Linked DNA regions of Danio rerio. The protein of the gene in region 2 purifies or fractionates together with the protein of the main gene of each other region. This does not show direct contact. Links are inferred from orthologs where the notes say so. Each region holds a gene or a part of one and is shown on either strand. Other genes may lie near its edges.

What was found.
Region 1: the proteins of sdhaf1 (region 2) and sdhb purify together in Homo sapiens (co-immunoprecipitation; 3 studies listed by BioGRID and IntAct, with this or other methods). This does not show direct contact. The link is inferred for Danio rerio from reciprocal best matches to the Homo sapiens genes SDHAF1 and SDHB.

The regions. Positions count from the first base shown.
Region 1 is NC_133197.1:261,286-265,631, forward strand, and holds the start of sdhb (succinate dehydrogenase [ubiquinone] iron-sulfur subunit, mitochondrial precursor), read left to right. Parts: upstream 1-1,507; 5' UTR 1,508-1,519; coding exon 1,520-1,582; intron 1,583-2,614; coding exon 2,615-2,748; intron 2,749-3,519; coding exon 3,520-3,605; intron 3,606-3,986; coding exon 3,987-4,123; intron 4,124-4,239; coding exon 4,240-4,346. UniProt on the Homo sapiens protein: Iron-sulfur protein (IP) subunit of the succinate dehydrogenase complex (mitochondrial respiratory chain complex II), responsible for transferring electrons from succinate to ubiquinone (coenzyme Q).
Region 2 is NC_133196.1:22,794,697-22,799,020, forward strand, and holds the start of sdhaf1 (succinate dehydrogenase assembly factor 1, mitochondrial), read left to right. Parts: upstream 1-1,471; 5' UTR 1,472-1,610; intron 1,611-4,324.

The sequences.
Region 1 (4,346 bases), on a different chromosome or scaffold from region 2:
GGCAGGTGTGTGTCGTGTGTTATACCTGTCTCATGCTGCGTCTCTTGGCTTTCCGTGCTTTGCTGGCGTAAACGAAGGCCCTGCGCACCGCACGCACCGCCAGACTGTAGCAGCGGCTCTTCCTGCCGCGGAAATGCTGCAGAAACACAACAGAGTCACACACGCCATAACAACCATACGCAGAGCAGACTGTAGCGCTTACAACCACGCTACAGTAAAGCAGACCAATTACTCTGCTGTGGTGATTCTACAGTTGCTATGGTAACACGACAACTATAGTAACTGATCTGTTGTGGTGATTCTACAGTTGCTATGGTAACACAACTATAGTGACTGATCTGTTGTAGTGATTCTACAGTTGCTATGGTAACACGACGAATATAGTAACTGATCTGTTGTGGTGATTCTACAGTTGCTATGGTAACACAACAACTATAATAATATAAACAAATGATCCAGTAGTGTAGTTGTCGACAGCTGTAGGGTATATTACACTGCTATACTCCACAGTTTACTGCAGTAAACACTAGTACACTGCAGTGTTTATCAGTTCCCTATAGTGAACACTGCAGTCTGCTGGAGCATTGACTAACAGGGCTGTCGGTAACATATACAGTATAATACACTTAACTGTTGTGTTCAGACACACTGAGGTATTTTCTGTAAATGACTATAGTATATAACAGGGGTACACACACACACACACACACACACACACACACACACACACACACACACACACACACACACACACACACACACACACACACACACAGAGAGAGAGAGACTCACCCGCGCGTTCTTCAGCAGCTCCTGCACCTTCCAGTATCGGTCGGGTCCGCGGTTCCGGATCCAGCAGGAGAGCGTGAGGAACACCATGATGATCAATCAGTGTGATCGATCCCCGAGTTTCAGCAAGTGTGTGTGAACTGACGCTTCATGTGTGACCTCAATCTCTCGTGCGCTTTCTGGAGTCGCCGGTGACGCGACGTCACATCCGGCGCATGCGTGCCTCATCAGAGTGACAAAGTAAAAGTTTATAGTAAACGCTTATGATGAAGATCTCCTTTTGTGCTGTTATTATTGACTTTCTACCCCCTTGGCATTTTTGTTTACTGTATTGTCATGTATCTGTTGTTTAAAGCATAATAAAAATGATGATGATTTGCCATGCAGATGAAAACATTATATTTGGGCTTTTAAACTCCACAGAGGAACATGACGGTTTCCTGTAATAAACTGTATCATGTTTCTGAAGATTTGTCACGCATGTTGTTGGAAACAAACACAGCGCTTATTATTATGATTATTATCATTAGTAGTAAACGAATGACAGAAATGCCGACATTTATATTATTATAAGATAAAATATGCGCTTATATAGCGCAGGATCACTCGTGGGCTGTGTTTAAAAGCGTAGTGAGCGCCCTCTGCAGTGCGCAGTCTCTGTGGGCGGCGGAGTGCGTGATTTGAGGCGCATGCGCAGTGAGTGTTGGAGCAGAGAGTCAGACTGATCAACATGGCGGCTGTGTGTTTCTCCTTGAGCCGCTGCTGCTCTGCTGTTCACCGGCCCGCCGTCACGGTGAGTTCCACACCTGATCTGCACTGATAATCGATCACCACCGCTCATCAATAACCCGTCTGATACCGATCATGACACGTGACTGACACACAGAAGCCGAAGTCCAGCTCTACGAGTACTGTCGTCAAACTCACCGGCGCGGATGAGCGGAAATATCGGAGAATAATGCGGTGTATGAGTGTGTTTATAGTGAAGTGCTGCGCCATTATGATGGAGGAATGACAGTATCTGCTTTATATAACGCTGACTGAGCGCGTGTGTGTGTGTGTGTCATCATGTATATGTCACAGAACACTGCAGTGCTGCTGCTGTTTATAATGTGAAGGTGTACAGTGTCCAGAGCTGATCTGATGCTGATCTGAGTGTTCTGACAGAGTGTGTGTGCGGTTTTGAGTGTGTGTTTGGTAACTGTCAGCTGGGTCAGTGATGTAACGAGAGTGTGATTCTGTGTGTGAACACTAGAGGTCAGCAGTGTGACCATTTCCCTCTGCAATCGGGACTTATGTCATGAAGGTCAACACTATTATAAGAGTTAACAGCCTAAATGGAAGAGGATTATAAGAGCCGTAAGTTCATTGTTTTATTTATGTTAAATTGACAATAATGTAAAAAGCAAAATATTTTCCTAAAAGTAATTTAATTTTTAATATTAAGTATATGCTGATGTCACTTCCGGGAAGGAAGAAGTTGTGTCATGGAGATGGAAGCGAGACAGTTTTTTGAGCGTGTAATGTAGTTCAGTTAAGTTGTTATTAAACATGTTCGAAACGACATCACTGGACTGTCTTATGTTACCCGCGTTCAAATCCTGCTAGCTCAAAGAGAGAAACAAGACAAGGATAAAGCTGTTTACATGTGTATGAGGAGGACATGCCAATCCACATCCAACATTATGGAGAAGCAGAATACACGCTCTTATCATGGGGGTAGAACATGGTTTGGGCCAGAACTCGCTGTTAAACCAGAAGAAGTGGAGTCTGAAGCTCTCTCTGTGTGTGTGTGTGTGTGTGTGTGTGTGTCTGTGTGTTTCAGGCGGTGCGGTTCGCGCAGACAGCAGCAGCTCCTGCAGCTCAGCCCAGGATCAAGAAGTTCCAGATTTATCGCTGGGATCCAGACACAGTCGGAGACAAACCTCGCATGCAGACATACGAGATCGACCTGAACACGTGAGTGGAGCTGCAGGCGTCTGTTCAGGAGTGTCTGAGTCTGAGGCTGCGTTCACACCTGTGAATGGATTCAGTTGTTCTGAAACAGAGATTATAATTGTTACAGTGTTGCTCTTTGCTCTTGGAGCGGTTCGCTTTCACACTGCAAAGTTTCTTTCCAAAAGAGCTAAAACAAGTCACGTGTGAGTAAACTCTCCTCACATTGGTCAGAGTGTCAGGGTTTATTTTGCAGCGTCCCGCTCAGCTGTCAGGAGAGGTGGTGGTTTGGTGGTGATTGACAGGGTGCACGCGATGTGTCTGAGGAGAGATGCGGTGGGGAGGGTGAGAAGGGTGCGCGACGATGCCTATTTGAGGACTGGGAGGGAGAAGCGAGATTACCGGGAGATCATCACTCGTTTGCGGGCATCCGGAGACTCGCGAAACTTCCCGCCATACTCATAATTCTCTCTTCATATAGCCGTAAGCCTATTACATATCCATAAAACACTGTGATATAACCGCGCTCAGATCGAATCACTTTCTCACTGCAATCGATCCGCTCCAGGGTTCGTTTCAATCGAGCCGAGACCACCTCACTCAAGCGATCTCAGAGCGATTACTTTGGCGCGGAACAGAGCGCGATTGCCCTGTTCACATATGCCAAACGAACCGCGCTAACTGGGCAATCGAGACACGTTTAGGTCTGAAAGCACCCTGAGTCTGAGAGTCTGAATCTGAGGGTCTGTGGTTTGAGTCTGAGTGTCTGTAGTTACTGTAGTGTGTGTCTGTTAGGTGTGGGCCGATGGTTCTGGACGCACTCATCAAGATCAAGAATGAGATGGACAGCACACTGACCTTCCGGCGCTCCTGCAGAGAGGGTAAGCAGCGTTCGAGTGTGTGTGTGTGAGTGTTTGTGTGTGTGTGTGTGTAAGTAAGCAGTGTTGGAGTGTGAGTGTGTGTGTGTGTGTGTGTGTGTAAGCAGTGTTGGAGTGTGAGTGTGTGTGTGTGTGTAAGTAAGCAGTGTTGGAGTGTGAGTGTGTGTGTGTGTGAGTGTTAGTGTGTGTGTGTGTGTAAGCAGTGTTGGAGTGTGAGTGTGTGTGTGTGTGTGTGTGTGTGTGTAAGCAGTGTTGGAGTGTGTGTGTGTGTGTGTGTGTGTGTGTGTGTGTAAGTAAGCAGTGTTCAAGTGTGTGTGTGTGTGTGTGTGTAAGTAAGCAGTGTTGGAGTGTGTCGCTCTGATCAGCGTGTGTTGTGCTCCTCAGGCATCTGTGGCTCGTGTGCTATGAACATCAACGGTGGAAACACATTGGCGTGTTTGAATAAGATCGACACCAACACCAGCAAGGTGACCAAGATCTACCCGCTGCCGCACATGTATGTGGTGAAGGACCTGGTGCCCGTGAGTACAATAACACACGTTTCTGACCCGAGTTTCTTCATCGTCAGTATTATTGAGCAATAAGACCCCTGAGCAGAGTAATCCTGGTTAATAACACACCGCTCTGCCCCCTGCAGGACATGAGCAACTTCTACGCCCAGTATAAATCCATCGAGCCCTACCTGAAGAAGAAGGACGAGTCCCAGCAGGGGAAGCAGCAGTACCTGCAGAGCGTGGAGGACCG
Region 2 (4,324 bases):
TCTTGGTCGCCACAGCGGAATGAACCGCCAACTTATCCAGCACATGTTTTTTGCAGCGGATACCCTTCCAGCCGCAACCCATCACTGGGAAACACCCATGCACACTCATTCACACACATACACTAAGGACAATTTAGCCTACCCAATTCACCTATATCAAATGTTTTTGGACTTGTGGGTAAAACCGGAGCATCTGAGGGAACCCATGCAAACACGAGGAGAACATGCAAACTCCACGCAGAAACGCCAACTGACCTAGCTGAGGCTCGAACCTGCAACCTTCTTGCTGTGAGGTGAATGTGCTACTCACTATGCCACCATGTTGTCGTATTTATACATTTTTGGACAAATTTATTTACTTAGTAATTTTTTCAAATATTAATTTTACTGATTTGTTTGAACATTGTTTATTTATTTACCTTAATCCTTTTTTTATTCTAAGCAATAGTTGATTTAAAAATTTTCTTAATTTATTATTTATTTTATCTATATATTTTATATTTATTAGATTATTGTAATCCAATTTAACTTTTTTTATTTGAAGCAGTAATATTTTTTTATATTATTATTATTTGTGTTTTTTTAAATAAATGTTTTAGACTCCTTAGCACTTATGGACCATTAATTCAAAATGTTATAGATAAGCATTAGTTAATGTTCAGGAAAACACTTTAGCAATACACAATTAACATACAGTGCTCAGCATGAATGTTTTAAAATAAATATCCATTTCTCAGTGAATATGGGTACTATATATATGTGTATTTGAATAAACAAATTTATTAAACATATATATTATTATTTTAGTCAAAAAACATATTTATAAATGGAAAGATAATATATTTAAATTTATGCAAAATATTGCAAAAAAAAGTACAGACTACAACATTTCAACTAAATCTTTTCTATTTTTTGTTTTTCTTGATTTTTTAAAAATGTAATTTAATATTTTTCTCTAACATATACATTTGGCTACTAATTTTCGAACCATAATTATAAGTTATTTTGTTAGATTAGCTTCAGATTTGGCTTCAGTACTGACTAATCACACAATTATAATATTGTAAAGCATCCTATAGAAAATATACATTTAAATGAGAGATTTGTGGGGATGTACTTATATATGCTGAGCACTGTATATTAAATATGCTGCATTAAGTTAGTCTGTAGCATGTACTGTTATAATAAAATGAACACAAGGACTTTAGACTCGACACAGATTTGACTGAAAAACTCGACTTATTAATGTCTTGAAAATGTGAACGTGTCTGTTTTGTAATCCAATAGTAAATATAAAATATATGTATTTTGCAGTCGCAACATAGACTTTAATAACTTGGTATAGCCTGCTGTTATAGTCTATTTATATCTAAATAAAGGATAAACTCTGAACTTTGGCTGGTCTTTGTTGATTGTGTTGCTGTTCAGCCTGACCACTAGATGTCAGTATATCTGACTATTACTGCATTTCATAACGTCACAGCATGAGTTAGGAAACACAGGTCATATTTTTGTGACTGCTGCGGTCGTTGTGTAGAAGACCTCTATTTTAAGTTTAAACATATACAGCTGACAAGGAATGAATGAAATTAAGCGCTGTAACTGACAAGGTAAAGTGTCGTTTATTAACGTTAGCTACCTTTGTTTATTTGTATGTGAAGTATAGTGTGCTAAGAGTGTTTGGTGTTGACATGACATGCCATCAGAATTGTTTACTAACGTTAATCATTGTGCTTCATCATAATAATTGAGAGACTACATATAACATGTTTTTACTAAATTTTGAATTATTAAGGTTATAATTAAAAAAAAAATTATGTTTTAGGTAATGCAATTTTTGGTTCACAATTCTTGTCTCCTTTGTTTCTCATCACTCCACATAAAAAGGTCAAAACAAATAAATAAGTGCTATATAAATCAGGGGAATTGTTTGTAAAAAGAAAAAACTTCAGAATATTGATTGAAGTGAAATGGCCTATTATGCCCAAAATGATTTTCTCCGGATAGTTCCTTGAATTAAAATCTACAGTCATGTTCAACTATAAACACATATACCACAAAATATCATTTGTTTCACTCAATACAATACAAATAGATCAAGTGTAAAATACTTAAATATTTATATGTTTATTAGTGAAAAAAAAAGATGTTATGAAAGATATCAGATTTTCAAAATTGACCAATGGGAAAAGCACCTGTAGTGTGAATGAACTTTTATACTAACTTAGTAGATTTTGGTTTGATTAATTAGTTTTTAAAAGACCTATTAATTATTAATTTAAGACCTAATAAACTTATTATCACAGTTTATTTGATTAAGTGTGAACAGTGCCATGTGCCAACTAGAGGTAAAGTTGGTTTTACATTCACACATTCGTTCATTTAGAAGTCTCTATATTATTTACCATGTTACTTTGAATATTCGATCGGAATTGGCATGCAAATATTATTTGAAAACAACATTAAGACTGTTTATTTCACTGTGAACAATGTTGTACTTTGATAGTCATTGGCTGCTGATATAATTTCACTGTTTGGAGTTTGCATATAATACTTAAAAGAAATTTTATTATTAAGGGGAAAGTCTGAATGTGCGAATATAAAACCAACTTTACCTCTATATGTGCAATTTGTCGCTCACCAAAATTTGCACCAAAACTGCTAAAAAGTTTCCTGGATATGTTTTTATCTTTATATTTGAAAATGAAGTTAACAAAATGAGAGCAATTCCATGCAATTGTCAACCTTGGCATTAAAAATAAATTTCACCAAAATAGCGAAACCCTTTCTACGTTTTTTTTTTGTGCAGGCTTTTATTTTACAATAAAATACTCAAACATGTCTCTGGCAGTGTTTTCAAACATTTATATTTAATTTACCATAATCACAAAAGTGGCAGTTACACATCTGTCACATCCATAACGAAGTTTTTTTTTCTCATGAATACAAAAAAATGTAAAATAAAACAAAATCAATAATGTTTGTTCTTGCAGCCAACTCTTATCTTTTTGATTAGCATTATTTATTTTGGGTTGTGCGGTTTAATTCACAGAATTTCAACAAAATATGTTCTATACTGTAAACTCGCAGACTTTTTTGGTCACATTCATAACACATGTTTATTTCTCTCATTTAAAATATAAAAATACGTTTACTGATTGATATTTTTCTGATTCAATAACACAGAACTGTGGTTAGTTCTTTAGGAAAATATAAACAGATGTTTCAATATAATGTTAAATTGTATACTTTTTTATGTATACAGTAGGCATGGACCGGTAAAAGATTCTGACGGTATGATAACCTTGGATAATAATATCATGGTTTCACGATATTGTGAGTCCTCTCTAAAATATGTTCTTTTTAAATGTCTGGGTATAAAAAAATGACAACTTTTATCCCCTTTGAACACAATATATTTTAATTTGATAATAATTCAAATCACTCATTGACTTCTGCTGTCTTTATTACTTTCAAAAACACAGATTTTTCACTTTTTAAAATGACATCTTTGAATATCGTTGCTGCTGGAGATACTGTTGTCCTAAAAAACAACAAATAAACATTAAAAAAAATCTTACACATATACCTTATGAATGTTTTTTTAAAACCTTGACTTTTTCAGTCCGCGGTATACCTTGAAAACTGTTATTGTCCCATGCCTAGTGTAGTGCTCAGCAGATATAAGTACACCCACTCACAAATCTACTTTTTAAATTCATATTTTTATTAAGAAGCTATACAATATTGTATTTGTGCATATACATTAGATTAGCCAGTACTGGAACCAAATCTTGAGCTTATCTAACAGGATAACTTATGATAACCGTCGTAAAAACTAGTACACCCAAATGTATATGTTATAAAAAAATATTAAATACAAATTTAAAAAAGAGGAAAAAACAAGAAAAACAAAAACAAAATTATTTAAAAGGATTAGTTGAAATTTTGTAGGTTGTATTTTTTTATTTAATTGTATTATCTTTTAATTTCTAAATATGTTTGGTAACTAAAATATTACTTTAATAAATATATCTGTTTAATAAATCTTTTTTGTTTAAATGCACCAAAATACATGCCTATATTTTACTGAGAAATGGATAAAATTATTCACTTTCGAAATGGGGTATACTCGACTATGCTGAGCATTGTATAAGTTTTAAGCTTATGCTAAAAAATGTCAATAATTGCTCAAGAAAAACAAGAGAACAGAACTGATTTACGAACACAATAGAAATGTCACAAAAACATCTTTAAAAATTCAACAATATATGTAATCTCTCATTATGAGATCATTAAACAAAACTAATCATTAAGTACAACT